3 linked regions of the Diceros bicornis minor genome follow. The protein of the gene in region 2 binds, or shares a complex with, the protein of the main gene of each other region. Links are inferred from orthologs where the notes say so. Each region holds a gene or a part of one and is shown on either strand. Other genes may lie near its edges.

What was found.
Region 1: the proteins of BCL2L1 (region 2) and TPT1 are in contact, whole or in part, in a crystal structure (PDB 4Z9V), measured with the Homo sapiens proteins. The link is inferred for Diceros bicornis minor from reciprocal best matches to the Homo sapiens genes BCL2L1 and TPT1. Residues at the interface, in NP_001304848.1 of Homo sapiens: Ala93, Glu96, Phe97, Arg100, Tyr101, Ala104, Phe105, Leu108, Gln111, Ser122, Gln125, Val126, Glu129, Leu130, Asp133, Asn136, Gly138, Arg139, Val141, Ala142, Phe146, Leu194, Tyr195, Ala199, Ala200, Ser203; in NP_003286.1 of Homo sapiens: Phe14, Asp16, Ile17, Lys19, Ile20, Arg21, Ile23, Ala24, Asp25, Gly26, Leu27, Cys28, Leu29.
Region 3: the proteins of BCL2L1 (region 2) and BAD are in contact, whole or in part, in a crystal structure (PDB 2BZW), measured with the Mus musculus proteins. The link is inferred for Diceros bicornis minor from reciprocal best matches to the Homo sapiens genes BCL2L1 and BAD. Residues at the interface, in NP_001276645.1 of Mus musculus: Ala93, Glu96, Phe97, Arg100, Tyr101, Arg103, Ala104, Phe105, Leu108, Gln111, Leu112, Gln121, Ser122, Gln125, Val126, Glu129, Leu130, Arg132, Asp133, Asn136, Trp137, Gly138, Arg139, Val141, Ala142, Phe146, Asp193, Leu194, Tyr195, Gly196; in NP_031548.1 of Mus musculus: Ala137, Leu141, Ala143, Ala144, Gln145, Tyr147, Gly148, Arg149, Leu151, Arg152, Met154, Ser155, Asp156, Glu157, Phe158, Glu159, Phe162, Lys163.

What each region holds. Positions count from the first base shown.
Region 1 is NC_080748.1:31,402,455-31,412,796, forward strand, and holds TPT1 (translationally-controlled tumor protein), read left to right. Parts: upstream 1-6,435; 5' UTR 6,436-6,541; coding exon 6,542-6,569; intron 6,570-6,823; coding exon 6,824-6,897; intron 6,898-7,469; coding exon 7,470-7,660; intron 7,661-8,073; coding exon 8,074-8,179; intron 8,180-9,005; coding exon 9,006-9,122; intron 9,123-9,931; exon of another isoform or gene 9,932-10,061; intron 10,062-10,131; coding exon 10,132-10,134; 3' UTR 10,135-10,340; downstream 10,341-10,342. UniProt on the Homo sapiens protein: Involved in calcium binding and microtubule stabilization. Acts as a negative regulator of TSC22D1-mediated apoptosis, via interaction with and destabilization of TSC22D1 protein.
Region 2 is NC_080758.1:27,764,514-27,774,209, reverse strand, and holds the start of BCL2L1 (bcl-2-like protein 1), read right to left. Parts: upstream 4,236-9,696; 5' UTR 4,154-4,235; intron 4,143-4,153; exon of another isoform or gene 4,040-4,142; intron 3,756-4,039; exon of another isoform or gene 2,914-3,755; intron 2,821-2,913; exon of another isoform or gene 2,709-2,820; intron 2,642-2,708; exon of another isoform or gene 2,624-2,641; 5' UTR 2,512-2,623; coding exon 1,948-2,511; intron 1-1,947. UniProt on the Homo sapiens protein: Potent inhibitor of cell death. Inhibits activation of caspases. Appears to regulate cell death by blocking the voltage-dependent anion channel (VDAC) by binding to it and preventing the release of the caspase activator, CYC1, from the mitochondrial membrane.
Region 3 is NC_080770.1:8,706,089-8,715,716, forward strand, and holds the start of BAD (bcl2-associated agonist of cell death), read left to right. Parts: upstream 1-5,721; 5' UTR 5,722-5,771; intron 5,772-6,053; 5' UTR 6,054-6,061; coding exon 6,062-6,248; intron 6,249-7,630; exon of another isoform or gene 7,631-7,710; coding exon of another isoform or gene 7,711-7,801; intron 7,802-9,628. Other genes in the region: integral membrane protein GPR137, read right to left, coding at 943-1,354, 1,744-1,862, 1,971-2,099, 2,225-2,374, 2,484-2,709, 3,406-3,455, 3,539-3,895. UniProt on the Homo sapiens protein: Promotes cell death. Successfully competes for the binding to Bcl-X(L), Bcl-2 and Bcl-W, thereby affecting the level of heterodimerization of these proteins with BAX. Can reverse the death repressor activity of Bcl-X(L), but not that of Bcl-2.

The DNA of each region.
Region 1 (10,342 bases), on a different chromosome or scaffold from region 2:
AACAAAATAGTGACCTCTGCTTAAAAGCCATCTGATGGGGAAGTTGCTTTAACATCAGTGGGATCCTTACTGCCCTCTCCCCCACCTCCGCCTTTTTTAAAATCTTACAAACATTGATTGAGAGAGAATATTAACATGTCAACACTGGTCATCTGTGGTTTCTTCTATGGTTCATAAATGCTCTGTAATGTGCATTTTTTTAATAATCAGAAAAAATTCTATTTCTCAAAGTTAAAAGAAATATTTAGGGGCCAGCCCCATGGCATAGCGGTTAAGTGCGCGCACTCCGCTGCTGGCAGCCTGGGTTCAGATCCCAGACGTACACCAACGCACTGCCTGTCAGGCCATGCTGTGGCGGCGTCCCATATAAAGCGGAGGAAGATGGGCACGGATGTTAGCTCAGGGCCAGTCTTCCTCAGCAAGAAAAGAAGAGGATTGGCATGGATGTTAGCTCAGGGCTGATCTTCCTCACAAAAATAAGTAAATAAATAAATAAAAAGAAATATTCAAATATCTAAAAACATCTTAGATTGGAATGAATCATTTTACATTCATCAAAGACACTAATGGAGGGGGCCAGCCCCATGGTGTAGTGGTTAAGTGTTCCTGCTCCACTGCTGGCGGCCCGGGTTCGGATCCCTGGCGTGCACCGACGCACCATGCTGTGGCGGCGTCCCATATAAAGTGGAGGAAGATGGGCATGGATGTTAGCCCAGTGCCCGTCTTCCTCAGCAAAAAGAGGAGGATTGGCATGGATGTTAGCTCAGGGCTGATCTTCCTCACACACACAAAAAAAGACACTAATGGAAATTATGTAAGTTATGTTGCTTGCTTTCACTTACGAGAAAGGAACCTGTACTCTCAGCTAGGCCTAGCTATCACTAGGAACTTGACTCATTACTCCCAGCTTGTTGTTAGTGCGTGGAGTCCTAGCGACCCTGTATACAGCAGTGCGGAGCCCTGCCCAGTCTTTTGCTCCATCGTCTCACCTTCCGGCGCTATATCAGACAATGCTCTGCTGCTATTCACTTGGTTTTCCTGGTCAATTTTTTTCAGAAATGAGTGGCCAGGTCCTTCTTCCTAGTCTGTCCTAGTCTGGAAGCTCTGCTGAAACTGGTCCACCATGGGCAACCCTGCTGGTATTTGAAATACCAGTGGCATAGCTTTCGGCATCACAGCAACACGCAGCAGCCACAGTATGACAACCGACAGATGGGTGGTGTGGTTCCCTGACTGGAAACAAACTCAGGCCTCGGTGGTGAGAGGGCTGAATCTAAACCACTAGATCACCAGGGTTGGCCTACTCCCATCTAGGCCTTGGTATTCTTCTGTTGAACATAAACAATCTCATAGAATATTAACACCAGACAAGGCTATTTTGTAACAAAAACATGACCTTTGTTCAAAAGGGCTACAGAGTCAAAAATAAGTATTCACCAAATCTTGGGCCACATAAAAAAAAAAAATCATCCCCTGAAATTGAGCAGTTGATGCTGCCAAGAAATATATTTGAAGAGAAAATTTGCTTAAATCAATGGGTTTCAAAACTTTTTGACCCAGATCCACATGAAGAAACACATCTTACATTGGGATCCAGTACATATATACACGTATAAATCTAAAATTAAAGTTTCGTGAAACAATACTCCCTGTGGAGGCTTTTTCCTTTACTGCATGTGATTCTTTCTATTTTCTTCTCTGTTCTATTTCATTTTTAATAAAGTTGGTCACTATTCACTAAATTGTTTCTCAACTCTCAATTTGAAAAGCACTGTGATACCAGGTCTTGGATATATGCTAAATCCAATTAATTGAGATGGGACTAGATTTAATCTAATTAAGAGACATGAAGAGAACTTCATTTCATCCATTCTTTCAGTGACAATTAAATTTTTTTTTTAATTTTATTTATTTATTTTTTCCCCCAAAGCCCCAGTAGATAGTTGTATGTCATAGTTGCACATCCTTCTAGTTGCTGTATGTGGGATGCAGCCTCAGCATGGCCGGAGAAGTGGTGTGTCGGTGCGCACCTGGGATCCGAACCCGGGCCGCCAGCAGCCGAGCACAGGCACTTAACCACTAAGCCACCGGGCCGGCCCTCAGTGACAATTATTGAGTCAGGCCCTGTTCTAGTTGCTGGGGGACAGCTGTTAACAAAACAAAGTCTCCCACCTCATAGAGCTTACCTTATAGAGCTCTGCTGTCCAATAAAGTTACTAACCATGGGTATTTAAATTTAAATTAAAATTAAATAGAAGTAAATATTCAATTCCATAGTCACACTTAGCCACAGTTCAAGTGCTCAAAAGCCACATATGGCTAGTGGCTACTCTATTGGACAGAGCAGATATAGAACATTTCCATTAACACAGAAAGTTCTTTTGGACAGTTCTGCTCTAAAGGAAAGAATTTTGCTTTGTAACTTGACTAAAGTAACGATTTGTTAGCAGAGTATGAAGAGTCTAGGAAAAAAGAATACAAATTTCTTAACGTATCTCAAAATGAAAGGGTTCAGACCACACACCAAGAATAGTCCAGCTTGGCTGCTTCATTCCTAATCACCTTGTCACAATCATACCGTGCATTCCAACACTCTCTGCCTAATTCCCTGTTAATCAAACCACATTTTCTGTAACTTGACTACTTTCTATACTACATCTAACCAGCTAGGAATTTCTCATCCTAAATTAATGGTATTGTGGTTTGCCAGTCAGTCTCTTAAGTTTGAACCTGAGCTCCAGTGAGCAAAGTGAGCACCTCTAAGCTGAGAGCCAGACCCTTTGCACTGTGCGTACAGCAGGCACTTGAAGCTGCCTATATTTTTCCTTGACAACAAAGTCCTGAGTGTATGTAGGGTGGCAATGAGCCAGTGCCAAGGAGCTAGAAGACTACAGTTTGCTGCCTTCCTTGCAACTAGATGCATCCTTGTAATTGTTCATGGGGCTTCTAGAATATCTCCTTAGAAGGGACACACACAGCTAGAATGTATCCCTGTGGTCCTTCCCTTCTTCTCGCTGCCTGCAAGATGGATGTGATGACGGGAATTATAGCATCTATCGTAGACTGTATTGATGGTGGACCATATTGAAGAAAGGAAGTTCCTGGGTCTCTGATGCCCGTGAAGCCACCATGACTTCATAGCTTCAGTCTGGACTGCATACCCCTGAATTTCTTTTGTAAGAGAGAATAAGCCCCTATGTGTTTAAGCCATCGTAGTTTATCCCTAATTGATAAAATGGCGAACCCTCCTGAGGTGATTTTCTCCTGTGAGAACTTGTGTGAAGAGGCCAGAAAGCATTGTCTTTGAAATCTCTTTAATTGAAAGAAATACCGAGTCATATATAGCTGTAAAATTCAGGACAATCTTAGATTTTGTTAGAAATCACTGCTTTGTAAGGAGTGTTATAAAAAAATTCAAATGATGCCTAAGTAAAAACTAATCAGCTTAGATAAAAGCCCAATCCTTGTAATTTTGACAGTGGCTTGCAATTTGTGGCTAATTGTCCTCTATTTGTATTATTGGTGTTCTAAATAGGTATTTTCAAGGTACAGCACAGATTTTCTAGACCACAGCATGGAGTTTTTAAAATATCCTGAAATACAAATCAGATTTTCCCAAGATTTTATTTTTTAGGATGTCTAGTCACTGACTTGCCATGAGCTATCAAATTTGAACCTGAGATAGAAATCTCACAAGGACACAAGTTGACTTCTTTCAGCGATCCCCTACAGTGCTGTGATTAAATAGTAGAATGTCTTTAACACTAAACTAAATCCCCAAAATATTTCCAAATAATATACAGGATTAACAGAATAGTTTCAGAAATATTTTGAAAAGTAAAAAATTTGGGAAGAATTTGGCATCATTCAACCAATACTTATTGATAACCTATTGAGGATGCTAAGCATTTTTTTCATCATCTTATTTAACTCCCCAAAGTCCTTTTAAGTCAAAAAAATTCCATTTTATACTTAGGCTTGGGGAGGCTGACTTTCCCAAGGTCACAGGACTAGTAACACCTAAAGCCAAGATTCAACCTAGGGTGCTTTGACTTAATACTTCAGGATGTCTTCACTGTGGCTGTTTTTACAAAACTTGAAAAAACATTTTTAATTAAACATAAAACTGGAGAGGAGTAGAGGGAGTAATGTTTGAGGGCACTGTAGGAGTGAATGGGAATCTTTCTGAATAATTTGAGAATGTTAAAGCTGAGGAAAATAATTAAACTGTGATATGCCTGGGAAAATAATCTGTTCCACTCAACACAGTCCAGAAATAATCAAGAGGTTTGAGAGACCCTTCATAGACCACCTGTCAGAAGATGTCCATCTGTCTTCTAATTCCCTTTACCCCATTTTTTAGCTTCCTCCTAGTTACCCAGTGTCCTCTGGGGTGTCTGGTGCAGCCCCAGACCCCATTTTCCCGGGAGGGTCCCATTTCCTGGCTCTTTTCCATTTTGACTCCTCCATTATCTCAGTTCACTGTCCTGTGCCCTGCTCTTTCACAACGGTTGCTCTCACTTACTCTGTGGAATGCATCATTAACGGATTTAGGGAAAACTGTTAATGTGTTATAATTTCCTGATTCTTCTACTAGAAAGAAACTTTCTGAGGGTGGAACTGGATTTAAATTGTTCACCATTGGGACCTCTGTGCAAAACCCAGTGCTAGGGACAGAGTAGAGCATAAAAATACCGTGGAATGGCAAGCTCTCGGGTTTCATATGGCATACATCTTTGCCTTAAAGATGTAACTAAACAGAGAAATTGGTTTCTTTTAGTACTTAGTAACTGGGTCTAAAGTCCAAACAACACTTGGGAGGTGGGAAGTTCCCTGCTTTTATGTTTAACCCTCTAGCATCTGGGTTATAAGTCCAACTTCATCTTAAAGTGACAACAGACCCTTTTTTTTTAATTGATGTTTTAGTAGTTTATAACATGGTAAAATTTTGGATTGTACATTTTTGTTTGTCCATCACCATATACATGTCTCCCTTCACCCCTTGTGCCCACCCCCTACTCCCACTGCCCCTGGTAACCACAATAATTTTCTCTGTCCATGTGTTGGTTTATACTCCACATGAGTGAGATCATATGGTGTTTGTCTTTCTCTTTCTGGCTTATTTCACATAACATAATACCCTCCAGGTCCATCCATGTTGTTGTAAATGGGACGATTTTGTCTTTTTTTAAGGCTGAGTAGTATTCCATTGTATATATATATACCACATCTTCTTGATCCAATCATCAGTCCAAGGACACTTGGGTTGCTTCCACTTCTTGGCTATAGTGAATAATGCTGCAATGAACATAGGGATGCATAGGCCTTTTGGGATTATTGATTTCAGGTTCATTGGATAGATTCCCAGTAGTGGGATAGCTGGATCACAGGCTATTTGTACTTTTAATTTTTTGAGGGATCTCCATACCGTTTTCCATAGCGGCTGCACCAGTTTGCATTCCCACCAGCTGTGTATGAGGGTTCCCGTTTCTCCACATCCTCTCCAACATTTGGAAAACAGACCCTTTTTTCAAACAAAGGACATAATTCAAGACAAGTGCAAAACAGAAAGGGCAAGAGCTCTTCAGCTGTCTGCCTGAGGAATCCACAAGCTCTCCAATACAGGATTCAACTGAGAGAAGGGAAAGCTATGCCAACTCCGTGACACCTTCCTTCCCCCCACCAAGTCCCTCCCCACAAACCCTGCACCCCCATGACTGCTCCCAGAGGCTAGCGGCATGACCTAGATCCCATTACCGGACCCAGCTCTGCCCAAAAAGGCGTCGGAAAACTCCAGCTGGGGCAGCTGCTGGGGCAAATGCTGAAAAGTCCTCTGAGGCCCTGGGAGATCAGAGGCCAGTCCAAAACCCAGGCCCTGCCCTCATCCTCGAGGACAGCCTCACTGGTCCCCCAAGGCCTCCAGGGCCCGACCCTCCGTACCCCCTACAACAGTAACATTTAGCTTCCAGAAAGGGGTGGGAGCTTGCGCGAAGCGAGGCGTAGGGCGGAAGCTTGAAGACATTTCATCTAAGCCCCACCCAGGCTCAGCACCCGCCGGGGCAGTCCCACAGCTTAACGAGGGGTAGCGCCCCAGGCCCCGCTTGCCCCATTCTCCCGCTTAGGGCCCCGGAAATCCTCCCGCACCTTCCTCAGCCCGCACCTTCCTCAGCCCGCACCTTCCTCAGCCCGCTCCTCCCCGCTGCCCCCAACCATTCTCCACAACCCGGCCCCGCGCGCTCCGTGGAACGCGGCATTGTGTCCCCGGGCCAAGTCCCCGGATGCTCGCCTCCCCCCGCCCCCCAGCCCGCGCTGTGGTCCCGCCCCCTGCGCAGCTCTGCGTGCCACGTCACCGCTTACGGCACTTCCGGAGGCGCAGCGGGCGATGACGTAGGTGGACGTGCCCTCTATATGAGGTTGGGGAGCGGCTGAGTCGGCCTTTTCCGCCCGCTCCCCCCTCCCCCCGAGCGCCGCTCCGGCAGCACCGCGCTCGCTCCGAGCTCCTGCTAAGTTGCGCCGCCGTCGTCTCCGTCCGGCTGTCACCATGATCATCTACCGGGACCTCATCAGCCGTGAGTCGTGACTGCACTACGCCTACTGCCGCGCGCGGGGTCGGGGGTGCGGGGAGGACGGACGCCGCCGCTGTCGTGGGCCTGGGGGACGCTGGCGGCCGTCTTGGGAGCGAGGAGGGGTCGGTGCCTGGTTCCGCGCCGCGTCTAGAGCGCCCGGGCAGGGCCGGGGCCGCGTGCGGCCAGGCGGCGCGGGAAATGGCGCCGGCTCCGGGCCCCGTGCGCTCGGTGACAGGCGGGTCTGTGTCCCCGAGCAGATGATGAGATGTTCTCCGACATCTACAAGATCCGGGAGATCGCGGACGGGCTGTGCCTGGAGGTGGAGGGGAAGGTGAGTCGGCTGGGCCGCGGCGCGGGCGAGGCGAGGCCGGGCAGGCTCGGGTTTCCGCCGCTCCCCCGCCCGAGGTTGTGCAATCCTCTCCGCTGCCTCCTGGCGGAGGAGACGCTCTTTCCGGGCTCGGGTTTTTCTAGAAAAGTGGAGGCGGAGCTGAGCCTGGAAATAGGTCCGCCGCCTTGGCGCCCATCCTCCACCCGGGCTCGGGCCGTCCGGGACAGGTTGTCTCTGGTTTGGGAGCCCCCAGCCCTTCAGCGTTTGCCCTGTCCCTACTGGCTCATGAGCCCATAGCAACCCGAGAGCCCACACATGACTTTCACTTGGTGGTGAATGACCCCGTCTTCGTTCCGGTCGACAGGCAAAGAATTCCTGTTGAGTTAAGATGTTTCAGGAATTCTAGGGCTCATAAGTTTTTTTCCCATGATGAGGTTTTTGTGGTTTTCAACAAGAGCCAAGAATGTTTGGAAGGATGATGAGTTCCTGAACTGCTGGCGTAGCCGATTTTTTGGATGCGTTTATGCTAAGGTCAAGGATGTTTTTTACAACTAAGTTATTTTTTCTTAATGCAGATGGTCAGTAGGACAGAGGGTAACATTGATGACTCGCTCATTGGTGGAAATGCCTCCGCTGAAGGCCCCGAGGGCGAAGGTACCGAAAGCACAGTAATCACTGGTGTCGATATTGTCATGAACCATCACTTGCAGGAAACCAGCTTCACAAAAGAAGCCTACAAGAAGTACATCAAAGATTACATGAAATCGTAAGTGATACTGGCACACCAGCTGATGTCTGGTGTGCCTTAGGATTTAGGGTTTGGCTGACTTTGAGGATCTTTAGCAGCAGCAGGTGTACTTGTGAAAGGCCTTTTTTATTGATGAGCTCACTAGGATGGTTGCTTTTCTGTAAATAAACTAATGAGAGTATAGTGGAGCATGCAGTCTGGTTTTAGCTTTTCAGATAGTACTTTGGAAATAAGTTAAGATTCAAAATTGTGAACAGTCTTGAAACATCCATCCTGTGAACTAGTAATTTCTCGATTGTGTCATATTATTTTGCTCCTTGACAGCTAGTTGCCCTTTTCAGTGTGTTTGTTTCTGTTTGGATTTTTTACTTAATGAGATTTATTTTGCTCAGAACTCAATACTTTAACCTATTAATAAAACGTTGTTTTAGAATCAAAGGCAAACTTGAAGAACAGAGACCAGAAAGAGTAAAACCTTTTATGACAGGGGCTGCAGAACAAATCAAGCACATCCTTGCTAATTTCAAAAACTACCAGGTAAATACCTTAAATATTTGGATCAAAGGATTGTACGGTTTTAGCTGTGAGAACAAAAAATTAGTTACTTGATGAATCTTGGATGTAATTAAATTGTGGTTATTTTCCTGGGCTTTTGAGCAGTTTAAATAATTCAGATGCAACTCCAGTAGTGGAGGCTGTAGACAGTAACTTTCCCTGTTCCCAAGGGTGTTTCCAGATCTTGTCTTCTGGTTCCAGAATCTCATCCCTATTCGCTTAGTTCCTCTCTTGAATTGCTTCTTAACCTCCTAAGTGGTCTTCCAGTTTTCTTTCTCTTTACAATTCCTGTATGTCTCATTGCCACCGGAGCTCTTTCTGATCTGAGCTGGTTCTGTTGGGGAACTTCAATGATTTCGCCTTACCTCTAAGACTTAATAAAGAAACAAACCCACCACAACCTGGCTCTTTAATTTTCCAGCTTTCATACATCCTTTGGCCATAAGATAACTCCCCTTGTGATGTGCTCTTTCATTGGTAGCCTTACGTTCCCTGTGCTTGACTATGTGTACAGGTTTGTAGGGTTTGAAATTGTATATGTGGGGTTGAGAGAGCAAGTTTCCAGAAAGCCTAAATTGTTCCTGGACTGCTTTGTACTGTTAATTTTGGTCATTATTAGTGTGTTAACTGGGTGAACAGAAGGTTGACTAGTGAGCATTTTTTCTCCTAGGCATCAGAGCCTTTAGTAGCTGAAAGTCTCTTGATTAAATTGTGGTGTTCTGAACCATCCTTTGTTTTATTGCAGTTTGTTTTCATATGATACATCTGTATATAATGGACTAATTCTGGGTATTGTTTGCTTCCTAAGTTCTTTATTGGTGAAAACATGAATCCAGATGGCATGGTTGCTCTGCTGGACTACCGTGAGGATGGTGTGACCCCATATATGATTTTCTTTAAGGATGGTTTAGAAATGGAAAAATGTGTAAGTATAAGGAAGTGGGTCAAAATCAGTAATGTAAAAATGGAGATATCTTAGGTGTGATTCTCCTTTTTCATGCCACTGGGCAAGTTAGAATGGATTCTACAGCAGTCCTTTTAAAATGTGGGTCTAGGTCTTGTTTCTCTTACTTTGGGAGTCTAAAGAGGGTTGTGTTTCACACAAGAAAAGATTTTCATGGCACAGAGGCTTAGAATCTTTCTTTAGCTAAAGAAAACTTATTGTTGATGGCATTGTAAAGCACAGCTTAAATACTGGAGATCAGAGACAACACCCTATGTTGATCTTTCTCCCAGAAATGGCCTGTCGAAATCAGACTGCCTTTCTCTTCATATTTTGCCACATATATACATGAATATCAAAACCTTTTTTACTTTGGTTTACTGATGATTGACAGCTGGTCATTGAAAGCCTTGATGTTACTAGCTTTTAGAAAATACAGTTTAGAGCTGGCTGCTGACTCAACATGAAAGTTGCTTTAGTAAAATGAAATAAATGGATGAATGTCTGCTGTGCAAGGAATTGCTGGCGGCAAAAGGGAAATGAAAGCATTCATTATGCTAGCTTTTAGAAGCTTCCACCTAAATTAGGATCAAGATAAACTTTAGGCCACACTAAATAAGATTAGAGGCAACAATGGGCAAAAATGTCTTAGGAAAGGACAGATGACTTGTTGCTAAAGGGATTATTCAGAGACTATCTGAGGTTTTGGTAGAACAAAGTGTGTGAGTGGGACTTTGCTCAGAATGAGACTTTTCAGGAAAATGTGCTACCTCTGATTAGTGAAGGTGGTTCTGCACCCACTGATAGGCCTTGAACAGTTTGTTGTTGTTCATTTGGTTTGCACTGGGATGCAAAAGAAGGAAATCCCTGCGCTTTCTGCCTGTCTTCGTGGCAGCTCAGATTGAATAGGGGAATACATCTGCAGGTTAGGAATGTTAAATACTTTTATATTGGGGAAAAAGTGTTAATACAATCTTTCTTTTTTTTACAGTAACAAATTTGGCTATTACTTTGGATCTACACCTGTCATAACTGGCTGCTGCTTTTCATCCACACAACACCAGGACTTAGACAAATGGGACTGATGTCATCCTGAGCTCTTCATTTATTTTGACCTTGATTTATTTGGAGCGGAGGCATTGTTTTTAAGGAAAAAACATGTCATGTAGGTTGTCTAAAAATAAAATGCATTTAAACTCATT
Region 2 (9,696 bases):
GTTAATAGCTGGCAACAACCCACTTGGTATTAGGACCACTGGCCAAAGACAATAGTCAGGCAAAGCAGGCAAACGGCCAAAGTCTCTTCTTGGAGATGCCTCAGAGGGTGTGTCTGAAGCGCTGGAATCCTGTCCCTCCTGTAATCAGCTGAACAAATATTTGCCCCCAAAGAGAATCAAAGCAGGAGGGAATAAGAGAGGTCATTGCACAAACCAACAGGAACTATTTAATCATTTATCCCCCCAGGGAGTTCATTTACAGAATGGCTTTCAAATCTGGTCAGCCTTAGCTCAAGAGAGCCCTCTGCCTTTACCTCCCCCAACCCCACCCTAGTCATCTGACCTCTACTGACTTGACCCCTTTGCCTTTTACAAGAACTGGCAGTGGGAAAAGTTGATAAAGTTGTAAAGAAATGGGAAATAAGACAGGAGGTGGGGTTCCAGGGCATACTCGGAGGTCTCTCGCTCACTGGTAAACTGAAGTGCCTGCCACACCCTAGGCCCAGCCTATGGATAATTGCATTCTTGACATTCCTGAGTCCATGGTGAATGGCCCCCTTCCACCTCAGCTCCTTCAATAGATGACTTATTTTCCACACCCTGCTTGATAGCCTGGGTATTCTGAGGAGACAGAATACCTCTCATAAGTCCTGCACCTCCCTCCCCAAGGCAGGAGGCAGGGAGATAAGCAAGGAAATAGGACTGAGTCCACTGTAGAAAAGCAAAAATTGCCTACAATGACCACTGGTAAAGAATCTCTCACCACTATCTCATCTTGACTTGGTGACGGGCAAGAGAATTCTCCCTCCCTGGCAAAGGTGTGAGGCATGACTCCTGGGCCCAGAAAGTGTCTGGGACCAATAACAACTACCACAGCAAACTTACTGGTGTCAGTCACTGGGCTCACGTTAGCTCCAAGATTTACAGTACTCTGCAAGGAAAGGAGGGCCTGCCCCATTTTTTTAGTGGAAGAAACTGAGGCTTAAGGTAAGCTGGCCTGTCCAAGGTCACACAGCTAGTTAAGTGACAGGGCTGGGACTCACACCCATGTGTCAGTTTGTTTCCTAAGTCTGTCACTGAATCTCAATGTCCCACAGAGGCCCACAGACCGGCTTCTTGCTTTGCCAGCAAACAGTGCTGGGTGAAAAGGCCCCAGGGCCCTGGCCGGAAAGCAACAGGCGGAACAGCTAGAGCTCCCCAACCGACCCTAGGCAGTGAGGTGCAAAGTCCCCAGGCCTAATGCGTGACACAGCAAGAGCTCCGCAAACAGGCCAACCATGCAGAAAGTTGCACACTTCAGAGCAAATGACCATAGGCGAGCAGCACAAACACAACTGCCCCACTGGCACAGCTTACATTGCCCTAAAATCAGACCATCCTCAGCCATCCAAGCCAGGGGGAACTCCTGCCTGGCCATGCCCTGTTCTGAGAGGAGAGTACCATGTATGCAAACCCTGAAAAAAAGGGAACTTGATTTGGGGGAGGGAAGCCCAGGACAGGACTGACATCCCGGGGGAGTAAGAATGGAGGAGCTTGTGGGTCACTGATACTATCTTCTCCAGGCATTGTACTCATCCCCCCTTTGCGTGGCAAGCCTTTATATTAGGGGGAGGGAAACAGTGGACTAACTTCCCACTCTCAAAGGTTTTGGGCCAAATGAACACACAGGCTGTCTTTTGCTCTTCTGAGAAACTGGAACACAAGTATGAAAGAGTGGGGTCATGAGGGTGACTAGAATGAAAGATGCCTGGTCCTTCAAGATCTGGGTCATCTGTATTTCAGAACAGTTAACCTCTTGTGGTGCAATGAGGCTACTCACATCTCCTTGACAAAAAACATCTCCAACAATCACCCAGCACAACATAAAGAGATAGAGGGGAGAGGCTGTTGGGGATCTCTCTGACCAAAGGCCAAGGAAAAGGGACACACAAGGGGCGTGGTCCTTACCCAGCCGCCGTTTTCCTGGATCCAAGGCTCTAGGTGGTCATTCAGGTAAGTGGCCATCCAAGTTGCGATCCGACTCACCAATACCTGCATCTCCTTGTCTACGCTTTCCACGCACAGTGCCCCACCGAAGGAGAAAAAGGCCACAATGCGACCCCAGTTCACCCCATCCCGGAAGAGTTCATTCACCACCTGCTCAAAGCTCTGATACGCTGTCCCTGGGGTGATGTGGAGCTGGGATGTCAGGTCGCTGAATGCCCGCCGGTACCTCAGTTCAAACTCATCGCCCGCCTCCCTCAGCGCTTGCTTCACCGCTGCCATGGGGATCACCTCCCGGGCATCCAAACTGCTGCTGTGGCCAGTGGCTCCATTCCCCGCGGAGCTGTCCGCCAGGTGCCAGGATGGGTTGCCATTGATGGCACTGGGGGTCTCCATCTCTGATTCAGTCCCTTCTGGGGCCTCAGTTCTGTTCTCTTCCACATCACTGAACTGACTCCAGCTGTATCCTTTCTGGGAAAGCTTGTAGGAGAGAAAGTCAACCACCAGCTCCCGGTTGCTCTGAGACATTTTTATAATAGGGATGGGCTCGACCAGTCCATTGTCCAAAACACCTGCTCACTCACAGAGTCTGGTCTCTGCTTGGTGCTTCTCTTCTGAGATCCAAAGCCAAGATAAGGTTCTGAAGGGAGAGAAAGAGCTTCAGGAAAAAAAAATTAATATGCATGCCATTTACCCTACAAACATCCCATTCCCCCTCCAGGTACCAGAACTGGTTTCTTTGTGGCTCTTCTGAAGGTCTGGTCTAGCTTCCAGGAGACTTCAATGAAGTCAAACTGAAAGCACCAGTGGGCTCTGAATCATCACACCGGCCTTTTTTACGCCAGCCACCCCTTTTTCTCCGAAATGCCTTCCTCGGAAAATCACCCCCCTGGGCAGTCGGGCCCCTACCCCCGCCTCCGCACCACCTACATTCAAATCCCTCTCAAGCGACGGCAGGCAGGTGCAGCCCCCGGAAGATCTTTTGTATCACAGGTCGGGAGAGGAGGTGGCAGCCGGGATGCCGGTAACTCAGCCGGCCTCGCGGCGGCTGGCAAAAAAACCAGCTCGGGCTGAAAGGATCATGCGACCCGGCAGGCTGGGAGCCCAGAAGGCGACACAGGAATTACGAAGCTCAGGAACCGGCCCCCTCGCCTGCTTCCTCCTCCATCGCCCAGATCGAGGGCGGCCGCTCGCAGCCGCGGCCTCCTGCCACCCGGGAGCCCAGCCCCCTCGCTCTTGCACGCCCCTTGGCTCTCCGCCTCCTACTGGGAGCCAGGAGAACTCTCCCGGAGGTGGCTGGTGTGGGGTTTAGGGTTTGTTTTTGTTTTTTTTTTTTTCTTTCCTATTTAAGTACCAGCCCAGGGTGAGGCTTCCGAAACCCTGAAGGGACTTCTCAATGGGGCTCAAGGTTTCGATGAGGGACGGAGGGAGGGGGAAACTGCCTCGGATCTGCGGTGTGACTTCGGAAAGGCCATCCCCAGGCCTTTCTGGGAGGCTGAAGGCCGGGGACCTCCCAGAAACGCCGCCGGTTTTCTTTGAATTCCCCAAAGGCCCTGGACGTGGCGGTGGCAATGGAGGATTGCCGGGTCCTCCATTCCCGGCACGGACACAATGGCCGCCGGCACCCTGCACAAAGACCGGCTGAGGGCGAGGCGCCGGGCCTCTCCTCGGGTCAGGGAGAGGGGTCGAGGCCTGCTCGAGGCCCCCCACGGCTAAGACCACGTTTTCCTGGGAGAAGGCCCAAGGCAGATTCGTGCCGCCCCCAGGAGGGCTTGGGGGCCGGGGGCAGCACCTCTCCGGCGGCCGCGGTGGGTGGGCTGCGGCCTCGCGGCTTCGCGCGCGCGCTGGGCCGGGTACCCGCCGGGCCACCGCCCCGTTGCTAGGCAACCGCTCTCCCTCAGGGGCGCCCCCTAGACCTTTCTGGGAGGAGGGGTCTCGCCCCCGGCGGCCCGCCCCAGCGTAGCCAATCAGCGAGCCCAGACGGCACGGAAGCGGAACGGCGAGGGCTCTCATTGGGCGCAGCGCCTGCCACGCGTAGGGGAGGCGGCGCTCTCACCTGCGCGCCCCGCCAGCCGTGGGGGGCCACATCCCCCCTTCATCGGCCAAGTCGTTTCCAGACGGGAGGGTTCTTCGCGGCCGAGTTCCGCGCCGCGGACCCGGGCCGGCCTACCTGGCTGACGGCTCGCGCTGTCTCTTCCGAACGAGCCGGCCTCAGTTTCCCCTGAAGAGACCGGGGGAACTTGCAAGCTCAGTCACTTCCGGTGCCGCGGTAGCGCGCGCGAGCCCGAGACGCACAGGGAGTGCGCGCCTTGAGGACTGGCGTCAAGACCTGGGAGAGAGCGCCCCCTTGCTGTAGAGCTGGGGAATCCCGAGACGCAAAAAAAAATCCACGTTTACGTTCACGTTTCCATTCAGTCAATTTCATCCATCCGTCAGTTTATAGATCGAAAAAGCATCGCGTTGTAGCTAACAAGCTTGCGTCTGGGATTCCAACTCTGCCAGTTGGGCAAGTCACTCAACTGCTGTGTGCCTCAATTTCCTTAATTCTAAAATGGGTAAAAAACAACCTCCCTCATTGCGTTGTTGTGAGGATTAAAAGAGTTATTTGTAAAGTCCATAGAAGAGTGCACCGTCCATAGGATGTGCTGCATAAATTCACTCAACAAATGTTTATTGTTTGGGTTGCTGAAGGTAGATTTAGGAACAAGACAAGCCATAGTCCCTGCTTTCATTGAGATTTAAACCCTTGAGATGGAGAGAGACAGTAAACAACTAAGAAACTACACAAACGAGGTAATTTCAAATAGTGACTAGTGCTATGAAGAAAATAAATCAGGGCATTGTTGTAAAGAGGGTGAAGGGAGAGGTGCTGCTTTAGACTGAGGCTCAGGGAAGTAAGCCCAGCCTTCCGTGCCCAGTGAGGGAGGGAGGCATTTTTTCAACAATTGTTTTGCAGGGTAGCCAAGGATGGCATCTTTGAAGAGATGACATGGAACACAAGACTTGAAATATAAGAAAATGCCAACTCATGGGAAGAGCCTAGAGAACACCAACAGAGGCAGAGGGAACAGCTTGTGCAAAATGTCCTGAGGCAGGAAGGTCTTGGCATGTTCCAGAAGCAATGTGACTGGAAGGTAGTGAGGGAGGGCAAATACGGTGTGAGAGGAAGTTGGAAAGCTGACCATGGAAGTGAGTTGCGCTTGATTCTAAACACTGAAAGGTGTTTTATTTTATGTTAATGTAATTGATTAAAAATAGGTACGTATACAGGAACACCAAATATTAAAAATATACCAAAGAGCATAGGATGAAAAAGTCCTCTTCCCACCCCTGCTTTCCAGTCCCCTGTTCCCCTCACAGAGGTCATCACTCTTTTTTTTTTTTTTTTTGTGAGGAAGATCAGCCCTGAGCTAACATCCATGCGAATCCTCCTCTTTTTGCTGAGGAAGACCGGCTCTGAGCTAACATCTATTGCCAATCCTCCTCCTTTTTTTTTCCCCCAAAGCTCCAGTAGATAGTTGTATGTCATAGTTGCATATCCTTCTAGTTGCTGTATGTGGGACGCGGCCTCAGCATGGGCGGAGAAGCGGTGCTTCGGTGCGCGCCGGGATCCGAACCTGGGCCACCAGTAGCTGAGCGTGTGCACTTAACCGCTAAGCCACGGGGCCTGGCCGAGGTCATCACTCTTAACCCCTTCCTTCTGTAGTCTTTCAGAGATGGTTGCTGTGTTCACAAGCAAATTTATGTGTATAAATGTTTCACACAAATGGTAGCTTGCTATAAACACTTCACATCTTGCTTTTTCCATGAGCTCTGTATTTTGGGTCTGCCTCAATTTTTTAAATTAATGCACAACTTTGTAAAGACATGTCATAATTTCCTTGCCCAATCCCCTATTTGGAAATACTTAGGTAGTTTCCAGTCCTTTCCTATTACGAATAAAGTTATAACTTGTCCATTCCTTATTTTGCATGTGGCAGTTTATCTGTTGGGTAAATCCCTGGAAGTGGAATCACCAATAAACAAGAATGTTTTCGTTGCGTTTTAATGGATATTGGCAAAGTGCTCTATATAGGAGTTGTACCAGTTTGTTCTCCCACAAATAAAATATGAGAGTGCCTATTTCCTCACATCCTGAACTATACAGTGTTATCAAAGCTTTTTATTTTTGCCAATCAGATAGATAAAAACGGAGACACTTTCATTTTTTATTTTTATTTTTATTAAGAGTGAAGTTGACTAATTTTTCATATTTGTGAGTCTTTTGGGGGAGGAGTCTTGTTCTAATGAATTCTCTGTTCATTTCATTTGCCCTTTTTTCAGTTGGGCTTTCTGTTGAACTTTTTACTCATTGATTTATAGAAAATTTGATCCTTTTTTTCTATATGGAGGTTGTAAATATTTTTCCAGTTTATTATTTATTACCATGGAAAAACTTTTATTTTGTATGTATTCTAATGTATCAGTCTTTTCCTTTGTGGCTTCCGGGTTCTATGCCATTCTTAGGAAGACCCTCTCCAGTTTGATATTATACAAATAATTCTCTGTTTTCTTCTAGTTTTTACATGGTTGCATATTTTACATTTTAATCCTTGTTCCATCATAAATTTACTTTGTTTTAAGGTCTGAGACAGGAATCCAAAAAATTTTTCCAAATAACTACCTAGTTATCTCAATATTATCATCTTTTCCCAACTCATTTGAAATGTCTCCATTGTCATAATCTACGTTCCCAACGGTATTTGGGTCAATTTCTGAACTTTCTATTATATTCCATGGAAGGGTTTTAAACTGGGCAGGACATGATCTGATTTCCACTTTTAAAACCTGTGGTGTCACAATTATTTCAATGTGAAAATTATCCTTATGGAAGTCTATGATGTGCTTTGGGAGCCCAGCAGAGGGCAGATCAACTCTGCCCAGAAACATGGTTTTTATTGAACTGGCCCTTAAAGGGAGAATAGGATTTTGCCTGGGAGAGAAAGGAGGTAAGGGGCATTTTAGGTGGAAGGCACCACCTGAGCAAAGCCACGGAGGTTTAATGCAAGAGCCCATGGTGTGTCCTAGAAATAAAGTGGGATGGCTGAGAGTAGAATGTGGTGGAGGAGACTGAATGTATGTGTGTATTCGACTGCGCAGGACACTAAATAGGTACCGGAGGAGCCTACCAGGCTTTTTGAACAGAAAGGACATGGAGAGGTTTATATTTTGGAAAGAGGGATAGAGTCTTTTGGGAAAGGAACTTTATAATATTTATCAAGAGCCTTAAAAACAGCTCTGGAAAGATCATTGAGAAATGATCTTTGATTGGAATCTAATTTAAGAAAAGAAGTGAAATACAGCCAAAGATTTATCCACAGAGATGTTTATGCAAGATTATTTATAACACAGGAAAGAAAAATTAAAACTGAGAATTTCAATAAATAGGGTGATGGTTAAATGGGTTAAATTCACACATTAAAATTGTAATTGAGGAATATTTAATGACATGGAAAAATGCTCAAAACATAATACTTTGTAAAAAAAAAAATAGGTTTACTGAGAATTATTCTAATTTATAAAAAACGTACATTACATGCAAAATATAGAAGGAATTATACCAGAATGCAAAAATGTGGTTATTGCTGAGTAGTCAAATTATGGATGATTTTATTTTATTTTTTATACTTTTCTGTATTATCCGAACATGATTGTATTTTTTTAAATTAGAAAACACTATTTAAAAACATGTTTGCTGAGATTTAGACAATGAGGAAACGCTTATACAAAAATAAAAGTATACAAAAGTAGATGTGTGATGTGATCTCAACTCTAAATACCATACATACGAAAAAGGCTGAGAAATTAATATGATAAAGACAAAAGAAAGATGGAAAAAAACCCTTGCACAGATGCTAAAGAGGAACGGAACCAGAGCGGTCAGTAAACCTGAAAAGATGCTTAACCTCACTAGTTATCAGGGAAAATGCAAATTAAAACCTCAGTGAGATACCATTTCACACTCACCAGATTGGCAAAATTGAGAAAATCTGATCAAATCAAGTGTGGTTCAAGAATGTGAAATAACTTCGGAAAAAAAATTATTGTTATCTAGTGGAGTTGAAAATGCCCATGACCTATGACCTGGCAATTCTGTTCTTTGATATATGCCCTAAAATAACTCTTGCACATGTGCAAGATGCAGGTATAAGAATGTTTATAGCAGCACTACTTGTAATAGCAAAAATTTGGAAACTACCCAAGTGTCCATTATAGCAAAACGGTTAAACAAATAGGAGTATGTTCATATATAGTAATATGATACAGTAAGAAAATAAGTGGATTTGGCTACACAGCATGAAAGAATCTCGGAAATACTTTGCATGAAAAAAATGCAAAAGAATAATGCAGTATGATTCCATTTATATATAGTTTGAAAACAGGCAAAACTAACAAACATACTGTTGAGAGTTTGTGGTAGCCAGCTTCTCCCAAGATGGGCCCCCCACATCCCTGCCTCCTGGTATTTACACTCTTGTGCAGTCCCCTCCCGCATTGTACCAGAGTTGTTCCATGTGACTGATAGCAAATGGCAGAATTGATGGTATGTCACTTCCAAGACTGGGTTACCACTCTCTTTTCTCTCTTATAACTCACTCTGGGGTAGCCAGCTACCATGTTGTGGGCAGCCCTGTGGAAAGGCCCATGTGTGGTGAGGATATGAAGCTTCCTGCTAACAGCCATGTGAGGATCCTGCTGCCCCGTGAAGCCTTCAGATGACTACAGCCGACAACTTGACTCCAACCTTACTCGAGACCCTGAGCCAGAAGCACTGCATTAAGCTGGATTCCTGACGCTCAGAAACTATGAGATAATAAATGTTTATAATTTTAAGCTAAATTTGGGAGTAGTCTGTTCTGCAGCAATAGATAACTAATACAGGGATATATACCTATGTGGTAAAATTACAAAGAAAGGTAAGGAAATAATAAACACGAAATTCAAGATAGCCATTACACATTAACAGGGTAGGGTACAAGATGAACCGGGGAACAGGATAAAATTGGGAGCTTGAAAGGTAATGGAAATGTCCTTATTCAACTGAATTGTACATATGTACACAGAGTTTGTTGCCTCATTATTATTATTACTATTATTTTGGTGAGGAAGATTGGCCCTGAACTAACATCTGTGCCCATCTTCCTCCATTTTTTATGTGGGATGCCACCACAGCACGGCTTGATGAGCAGTGTGTAGGTCCTCACCTGGGATCTGAACCTGTGAACCACGGGCTGCAGAAGTGGAGCATGTGAACTTAACCACTATGCCACCAGGCCAGCCCCAAGTTGCCTTGTTATTCTTTATATATTTTATACATTTTACATATATATGTGTATATATATATTTGTGTATACATATGTATATATACACATGTATTACTCAATAGCTAATAAAACCAATTTTAGAAGGACTGGAAGAAAATAGACTCAAATGTTAATAGTGGAAATGTTGCCTCTAAAGGCTAGGTTATAGTTATTTTTTTCTACTTCATTATTTCCCATATTTTCCAAATATTACTAACAAGAAGGCATTACTTTTGAAATGAGAAATATAAAAATATGTGAACACACACACATATATAAAAATATAAAAATACATATATGTGTGTGTGTATAGATATAGCAATATGAGGGCTTGTATTTGCATTGGAAGATCTCTGAAGGACACACACTC
Region 3 (9,628 bases), on a different chromosome or scaffold from region 2:
TTTACAACCCCATCTCTCCAAAGACCCTTCTCTTGCCTGGGCTCCTTAGCCCTAGGTGGGTGGTTTTGAGCTGCGCTCTAAGGCCGACCACCCCCCAAGTAGGGGGCCTAGACAGGTTACCAGTCTCTCTGGAGCCCGCTTACAGAAAAGGCATGATTAATTGTCACCTCAGGGTGTGGTTCTAAGCATTAAAGAGGTTGGTATTTGTAAATGCTCAAAACAGAGCCTGGCACCCACAATAAAGGGCCCCACAATGTTAGCAATTTTCCTTTCCAGCTGATTCTTAGTCTCAGATGCCCGCTCTAGAAGCTCTGAAGGCCTGGTGTCCAGGATAGTTCCAAGTGAAGGGTTTCAAGACAGGCTCCGTGCTAGGCCCCAGGCACTCCGAGGAGCTGGGACAGCCAGGTATGTGGGCAGGAGACAGATCCTCTGATCAAGGACTCCCAGCCACCAGACAGATCTGCCAGGGCTATGTCAGAAGGTGGTGACTGTGCTATTAGGGGCCTCCAGGACCACCAGACTGTGTGGGGGCAACCCCCCATCTGACCAAATCCACACCTGGTAGGGAGATGGGGGCTGCTCAGCCCCCGGCCAGCTCCTCATCCACAGGCCCTGGACCAGACCCTGGCCCGGAAGGCCAGGCTGGACGTGAAGACAGGGAAACAGGGTCTCCAGAAATCCCAATCCACGGGGGGTGGGATGCGTAATAGCCACATAACCACAGGGCCACGGTACCCAAAGGGGGGCACATGGTTCCCTGACCTGGAAATGGAAGGCTTCCTAAAGGAGGTGACATTTGGAGCAGGTCTTGAGGAAAGAGTAGCAATTGTTCAACCAGGGAGGGACTGGAGGGGGCGCAGGGCTCTTCCTTCCCCTGAGAAGGCAGGCTCCTCCCTCTCCCTGCCCAGCAGCCCCCTTCAAGGGCAGGTGTCTGATCAGCCTTCAGCTAAACAGGTGACGAAGCAAGGAACACACAGCGGACAACCGACAGACAGTGAATGGACGCGGGGCACAGACACTGTTTATTGAGTGGCAGGTGCAGGAGAGGTCGCTGGCTCCAGTGTAGAAGCGGAGGCAGCAGGTCATGCCAAGGCGCTGTGGGCATCTGGCAACCAGGGCCATGCCTCCCATCCTAGGGGACGGCATAAGCTCACTACAACAAGAGTAGCAAGCAGCCGGCCAGGGGAAGAGGCAGCCACAGCCCCCAGGATCCTGGGCAAGAAGCGGCAGGTGAACTTGGCACAGGGGCCTGGGGTAGGAGGACTGGGGTCTGGGTGTTCTGGGGGGAAACAGAAGGGGATCACGTCTGTGGGGTGGAGTAGAGACTGTGGTGGTGGCCGCCTGGTCCCAGCACCTGGGAGAAGAGCAGAGGAGTGGTCCGCGTCTGGCTGCCCCCGCACCAGCCTGGCTCCCGCCCGATGGCGCCGTACCAGCTGCCGGAGCCTAGGCTGCCTGACATGCTGCAGGCAGAGAAACACCGTCAGTCCCAGGGCAGTGACCAGGGCCACATTCACAAGAGCTGGGGGAGGGAGAGAGCCTCAGAACAGAAACCAATGACCGAGACCTCCAGGATGCAAACTGCATCTCGGGGCGAGAGATGGAGACCTCATCTAGTACAGACGGGAATCAAAGAGCACGGCGGGCCAGGCAGGTGGATGGGTGGCAAGACCCAGGACTAGGTCCCCATAGCTTGATGGAGCAAGCCGGGAGCCCAGGGGTCTGAGGCAGGGCCGGGGCTCCTACCTGGTGCTCTCGCCCCGGCTGTGCTCCCAGGAGCAGCCCTCGTCCTCGCAGTGCCCAGCCCGGTCGAAGAAGTAGGAACGGGAGCCAAAGACCTGCCCGTTGAGGATGCGGCTGGTGCTCTGGGGAGGAAGCCACCATTGATGCTTTCTCCTGCCCTCACTGGCCTCCCACAAACCCTTTAGACCCCAGCCCAGGATTCCATGTCCACCCCTCTCCACAGCCCTCACCAGGTCCTGCGGGGGCCGGTGTACCCGGAAGAAGCCCACCAGCAGTGTGGTGGGCAGCAGCTCCCACACAAAGAGGATGAGGCCAAACACCAGGTAGCCCTTGTTCCCCAGGTCATTCACCAGGTCCGCCTGTGGGAAGGCAGGGGCTTGTGTCAGTCCGCAGTCGTGCTATGGGGCACCCAGATAGGGCCCAGGCCAGCTGGGGACCAGGAGCCACAGCTACTAAGGAGGCGGCAGACGTGCCGAATGCCCACCTGGTCGGAGACGTTGTACCAGTCGTAATCAAAGGCATCCAGCCGGCTCCGGGGGGCCAAGGCCAGGGCCGCCAGGTTGTAGCAGGCCCGGCTGGCATAGAGCAGGACCATGGCGCCACCCATCACGGCTGCCTGGCACACACTGGTCCCCTGGCACAGATGACAACAGGGAGGGGAGGCTCTAGCTTCCTCTCTACCCTGAAGACCACTGCCCAAAGACCCCCAAAGGATACCCAGGCATCAGGGCTTGTGGCCCTACCTTGGCCTCCAGGTAGATGCTGGTGGAGGGGGCCCGCCGGGCGACAAGGCAGAGGCAGGCGGCCAGAGAGAGCGCGCAGATGACAAAGAGGGAGTCGCTCACCAGGACTCGCACCAGCAGGAGGGCCCAGGGCTGTGCCCGGCGCCGGCGGGACAGCACGGCACACAGCACATTCACCAGCAGAAAGAGCAGCGAGGCCCCCACGAAGGCCCCTCGGACGGCCAGCCTGCGGCCCACAGCACAGTCAGCCCCAGCCCTGGGCGCTCAATCACCCCACCTCCCACAGAAGACCCTGGTCAGTCAGAACCAATCCAGACCAATCCAGTCCGAAGACTGCCCCTCCAGTTTTAGATGGGGAAACTGAGACCCAAAGAGATCAGATGGTGACCGACAGCTGTGGTCGAGTGGAGAGAGCACCGGACTGAGAGTCAGAAGTCTGGGTTTCAGCCCTGGCTCTGCTCTCTGCCAGGTCTACGACCTTGAACATGCTGCTTTACCTTGCAGGCCCTCAGTTTCTACATCTCTCAAATGGCGATAGTAAGAGCCTCAGGGGTAAGTTGTAAAAATTAAAGATGTTTGTGAAAGCTCGTCATAAACTGGAAGACGTTATACAAATGACAGGATATCGCCACGCAAGGTCACCCAGAAGTGCAGTCTGGCTTGGGCTGAAGCCTCCCACTCTTCCTCCATCATGGGTGACACTGGTACCCTCTCCCCTCACTCACGACTGTTTCTATTATAATTTTTCTTGACCTATGCTACGCCTCTGCTCAGCCATCCACCCCAGGAGCCCTACTTTTCCAAGCTTTTTCACAAACACTCCTGGGGTGGTCCTTGCCTCAGCCCTGCAAGGGAGGAAGGAATGGACACCGGGCTGCTCCCTGGCCTGAGGGCTGAGCCCACCAGTGTCCCGAGTACTCACAAGCCTCGGCTCATCTCTGGCCGACGCTTCGCCTTGGCCTTGAACACCACCTGGGAGCAGAGACGCCCATCATTCCTTTGGGCCTCTGGGGCTTGCCCCACCACCACCCACCCCCACCCGGGACCACAGTTACCTGGGCAAAGTAGAGGTTCATGAGGGTCAGCGTGAAGAACTGCAGGCAGACAGGGCAGCAGTAGAGAAGCCAGAAGGGGAGAGGCCCCAGGCGGTTGGCACGGGGGGTGTCTCGGAAGTAGAAGGAGAAGAGGGTGGTACGCAAGGCAGCCCAAAGCAAACAGAGTGCCAGGAACACCGTCTGGTAGCTGAGACGCTTGTGCCCATAGAGCAGCACCAGCCAGAGCTGGGCATAGACGGAGAAGAAGAGAAGGGCGTACAGCGTGGTGTAGGCCGCGGTCAGCCCCAGGGTCACAGCAGGTGGCAGGGCAGGCACCAGCCCAGCAGCAGGCACCGGGCCAGATAGGTTACTCTCCATGTCAGGGAGGGAGGCCTGAATCCCGGAGACAGAGATGGAGGGGCTGGCAGGGGGCCAGGGAAATAAATACGGAGGGGTGGGAGCTGCAGGGTACAGAGATGGAGATGGGGCGCTCGCGAGGAAAGAAGTTGCGGCTCACCAGGCCCTTCCCCCTCCACAGAGGGGCCCTCGCCCTTGCAGCGGGGCACGGGCAGCCTGGAGCCTGCGCCCCTCACTCGGGGCGTGGAAGGGCAGTCTCTCCTCTCCAGGGTAGAGGAGGTGGGTGGGGGGTGTCTCCCCTGCACCACCCCAGAGCCGGGGTAGGGGACTGCAGAGGCTGAAGGAGAGAGGTCCCTGGCCTTGGTCGCTCGAGTCGTCCCGGCAGGAGGGGGAGAGCCGGCCGATGCCCGTGGGCTCAGGGCAGCGGCCGCTGCGGGGGGCGTTCAACGCCCGGCTCTCCCCCTCCCCAAACTGGGGAGATCTCTCCCCTCCAATGATCCGGATGGGGAGGGCCTCTGCCTTCCGTCCTCGGGATTCCGGACGCTGCCTCCACCCCACCCCCACTGCGTCCACCCTCCAGCCGCGGGGGACCCGAGGAGGCGGACGCCGGGTCCTCAGGCCGCCGCTGGGGGAGCCGGCTCCGGTCGCTGGGACCCGGGGCTCCAGCTCCCCGGCTCCCGCTGCTCCGCCCCCTCCTGCGCCTGCGCGGGCGCCGGTCGCTACGCAAATTGCGCAGGGTCTGGCCCGGGCTCCGCAGTCCGGCGCCGCGCCCGGCGCGGAGCCGTTTGAGAATTGGCGCAGCTGCGCCGCCGGCGGACGCCAGGGGTTACGAGAGGCTGCAGGCGGCCGAGACGCTGGGGCCGCGCCGCATCCGGCGGGCGCCTGGGGGGGCCGTGCCCGGGGCCACCGGCCCTTGCTTGTTTGAGGGGCCGCCAGTTCCCATGCTTCTCTTCCCCATAGCCAAGCCGAGATCGCTCCGCCCGGCTGAGGGCGGCAACGACTTCCCCTCACCCGGTTCCTGAAGGAAACTTCCGCCCACAGCCAAGATGGCCTCCGGGCCCCGCCCCCTGGGCCTCACCCGCTGTCCCCGCTGTCCCCAAGCGGCCCGCCGCCCCACGCCCTGGCCGGCAGCGGCTCCCGCTCACCTGGGCGGCCGCCTGCCAGGCGCGAAGACCCCGCGAGTCCTACGGTCACCCTCCCAGGGGGCCCTGTCCGCTCTCCTGCGCCGGGGCAGCCATCCCGCCAGGCAGGAGACTGCTCGCTTATCTCGAGCGCTCCCGCGATGGCGCGGGGAGTGGTGCCCGATGCGGGCGCTGCGAGGTTTCCACTGTGGGGAGGAGGAGGGCGCGGGACTTCCCGACCCGGCCACCCATCCAGACGGGGCAGTGACAACAGCGACGACAGTTGCAGCCGGCGGCCAAGCTTCAATGACGGCTTTGCAAAGTGCTTTCACACACGGTTTACAATGATCAGTGGCTCCTGAGGGAGGTGTCATTATCCCCATTCTACAGGGGTAGGAACTGAGGCCAGAGGGGCGGAAGGACTTGTCACCAGAAGCTGGTCTCCAGGTTCCCGGTGGGGACCCCAGAGAATCCCTCCTCTGCTCCCACACACGCCCAGGGCACGAGAAAGCCGGGAGCCGAGCGTCCGGAGACGAGGAGTGGACCCAGGCAGGAAGGCGGGCGGCGGAGAGCGGGTCCGGCGGGGGGGGCGGGGCCGGGCCGGGAGCGGCCCCGCCTCCTGGCCCGCCCTAGTGACATATCGAGAGCTGATTGGGCCGGGTCTGTGACAGTTTCCGTTGCCCAGGCAACTCGGGCTGGGCTCCCTCAGTACTAGAGGGAGGCGGCGGCGGCGGCGGTGGCGGGCTCGGGTCAAGGGCCTCCAGATCGGGCTTGGGGTGAGACCTGGGTGCCGTCACCACGGGCGGGTCAGGCCGGGGCCTGGGTAGGGGCCTGGGGCTGCTCCACCGCTCCAGGGCTCCCCGAGGAGATTTGGGTCCTGGGTGGACAATCTGAGCTTCCTGCCCGGCCCACACTCAGTGGACAGATGGGGGCCTGGGAGGCAGGGCAGACCTGGGGCTCTAAGGTGGGAGAGGGGGTCAGGGGTGCCTACCCTTACCCCCCCACCTCCCCCGCCGGCCACCGTTTGCCCCTAGCCACGCACCATCTTGCCCCTACAGCCCAGAGCATGTTCCAGATCCCAGAGTTTGAGCAGAGTGAGCAAGAAGACTCCAGCCCTGCAGATAGGGGCCTGGGCCCCAGCCCCACGGGGGACCGGCCCTCAGGCCTGGTCAGGCACCAGCGCACGGCCCCAGGCCTCCTGGGGGAAGCCGGTCACCAGCAGGAGCAGCCGGCCAGCAGCAGCCACCATGGAGGTAGGCACACCCCCTTGCCCCCAGCCCAGGACCTCCTGCACCCCAGCCGCATCCACACTCATAGGGTGGCTTTGAGTAAGTCCCTAACCTCTGTGCGCCTCTGTTTCCTCTGCTGTAAAACAGAGAAATTAATCACCACCATTGTAGGGCTGTTGGGATGAATAGCAGGAGTATACAGGAAGCACTTAATTATAGTGCTGGTGCTTAATGAATGCTCAAAGAATGTAGCTGTTAGGACCAGGACAGAAATCTGAGAGGCAGGCAGGGAGCCAGAAAAGGGAAGTTACTTGCCTAAGGTCACACTTGCTTGGCATTTCCTTTCGTAAGAAGCGGGGCTGGAAGGCTCCATCAGCGCTCTGCCCCAGGCTGCGTGCTTTCTCTGGGATGGGCCTTCTAGTCCCCAGGTATGTTCCTTCCCGCCCTGTGGTCACACCCACACCGGGGCTATCCTTGCCCGTTGCCAGGGGCAGGTGACCTCAAGAGGCAGACAGCCCGCCCGGTCAGTGGGTTACTGTAGGGGTGGGGAAGCACAGGCCTCCCTCCACGCCCACTGAGGGCGGCCCAGCGCCGAGAGATGGGAGGACGGGCACAGGAGGGCAGTGGCCATTTCTCAGTGGTCCCACCTTCTCAGTGCCCAGCACTGGCCTTGGCACCTGGAACAACCACAGAGATCTGAAAACAAAAATCACATCCCTCGCGTGCTGAAACCTACATGACCCCTTTCATTTTCGGGAGCAAGAAGGCTTACTAAAGCCTCCTCCCCAGCCCTCCGCCACACGCCCTGTCAGACGGAACTCCACCGGCTTTAACTTCCAGATCTTTGCACTTGCTGTTTTTCTGCTTGAAAAAGCTTTCCACCTCCCACCTGGCTGTTCCTCCCCATCCTCTGTATCAAGTGCTTAATAGGTGCCACGTAGTCTCCCAGCTTCCAGGGGTACATCAGTGACAGATGAGATAAAAATCCTTGCCCTCGTGGAGCCTACCCTGTCCTGGGGTTAGGGGAGGCAAGCCATAAACAAGAAGAAAATGATAGAGTGCATTAGAAGATGACAGCCGGGGGCAGTGCGCCAAACAGTCTTGCCTGTCTCTTTTGAATTCGGAGTACCGGGCCTGGGGGAGTGACTTCAGCTGAGGTGGTCAGGGTTGCCTCGGTAAGAGGCAACGTTCGAGCAAAGGCTGGAAGGGATGAGGGGTGAGCCACGCAGGTATCTGTGGGGCGGGAAGGGTGCATGCAAAGGCCCTGGGGGCAGGATTCACCGGTCCAGGCCAGTGAGGGGAGGGGCTGGGAGCTGGAGATGCATCGAGTTAATGGAGGGGGAGGGGCAGCCAGGCAAGGCTTTGAAGGCCAAGGTAAGGACTTTGGCTTTACTTTGAGTGAAAACATGGGAGGGCTTTGAGCAGCTGCGGGGTGATCTGATTTTGGCATCAAGAGAATCCCCAGGGCCCCTGTGTTGAGTCTGCAATGGGCAAAAGCAGCAGTGGGGCCGCAGCCTGCGCCCGAGTCCCTGCGAGGGAGGATGGTGGCTTGTGCCAGGGCGGTGGCATTGCAAGTGGTAAGTAGCTGGACTCGGGGTTTATTCTGAAGGTAGAGCAGGATTTGCTGCCGGACTGGATGTGAGGGTGAGGGAAAGAGGAGTCGAGGATGCTGCGAGGAATCTGGCCTGGACGCCTGGAAGGACGGGCTTGCTCCTGAGATGGAACTGAGATATGGGGGGACAATCAGGAGCCCAGCTGGGCCAGGTCAGCTTAGAGGTGCCTTTTTGGCATCCAGGTGGAGATTTCTAGTAGGGATGGGTCCAGGCAGGATTCGTGCACGTGGGAGTTGTTAGTCACCGACGGCCTGTTCTGTGAGGCCCAGGGAGCCAGTGTGGACAGGAGGGGACCTGGACTGAGCCGGGGGCTCCAGCCTTCAGAGGGCAGCAGAAGAGGAGGAGCCGGCCCTGGGGACTGAGAAGGAGGGAGCAGCGGGGTGGGAGGGAAACCCAGAGCATGCAGGGCCCAGGGAGGCGTATGGGGCTCGTAAGGAGTGGGGCTCTGGACCCACGATGCTCCTGGGAGGGCCGCTCACTGGAGGAGGGCTGGGAATGGGGCGCTGACGTTGACAACTTGGGGCCACCGCAATGGTGGGGAGGCGGCGGAAGGCTGACCTCAGTGGGGAGGGACAATGGGAAGAGAGCTGGAGACAGGAGAGAGCCCGCTCTCAGCAGCTGTCCTCCGGTATCGAGGAGCCAAGGGGTGGGCGGCAGCTGAAGGCCCGAGGCGAGGCAAGGAAGTGTTGTGTTTTTTTTTTTAAGATAGAAAGGGAAAAGAAAATAACATGTTTATAAGCTGATGGGAGTAATCCAGGAGCGAGGGAAATACGGGATGTTGCAGGAGAGAGGGGAGACTTGCCGGAGAGATGTCCTTGAGTGGGAGACGGGGGTCTGCTGCCCAGCAGAGGGGCAGCTCAGCTAAGAGCAGGGCAGTGGACATGGGCGGTATATACCTCGTGGAAACTAGACGTTTCTCTTGTGGGTGCTTTCAATTTCTCAGTAAAAGGTCACAGGCCAGGAGCGAGAGTGGGGCAAGGGTTGGGGGCTGAGGGGAGAGAGGAGCAGTTTTGAAGTGGTTGCCGTCCTGACAGGCAGGAGGTGGTGGTGAGCCCGTGGGAGGCCTGGGATGGAGTTATTGATGTGACAGGCCCAGGTCCTGCCCGCGGGAAAGAGGAGGAGGGGAGGGGAGGGGAGGGGGGCGAGGGCAAGGAAGGAAAGGCTAGGAGGTGGGAGGGACCACTCTGGTCCATGAATGAAGTGAGACAGGAGGGGTGATGGACAGAGTGCTCCTGCACAAACTGGGGGCGCCACCTGGGCAGGGGGGCACCTGAGGCATGGAGTGGGGGATGGCACACCCAACAAACTAGATTCAGTGGGGGGGAGAGTGATCTGAAGAGCAGTAAGGAGCCCAGGGGACATCTACCCCAGCTCCAGACCCAGCCGTGGGGAGGGCTGCAGGAGAGAAGAAAGCCACTGTTTGAGAGGACCACACAGGACTTCTTAAACTTTTGACTTAGTTTTCAGTGTCTAAAAAGCAAGTGATTTTTCCATAAAAGATCCACAAGTGCCAATGACCTGCCAGAGCCACAGGGCCACTGCCCCCTCCGGGTGGGCAGGTTCCCGTCATTCTTCATCTTCCCTGCCACCTGGCCCCTGCTGGATGGACTGTAAGGGTTCCCAGGGCAGGGACTGTGGCCAGGTTGAGCTTGAGCAGGTTAGTTAACTCACCCTGCCTCAGTTTTCTTATCTGTAAAATGGGCATAGAACTAGTCCCACCTCACAGGGTCATAGTGAGGATCTGCTGAGTTAATACAGGAACAGTGCCTGGCACAGGGGAGTCTTTGCGGT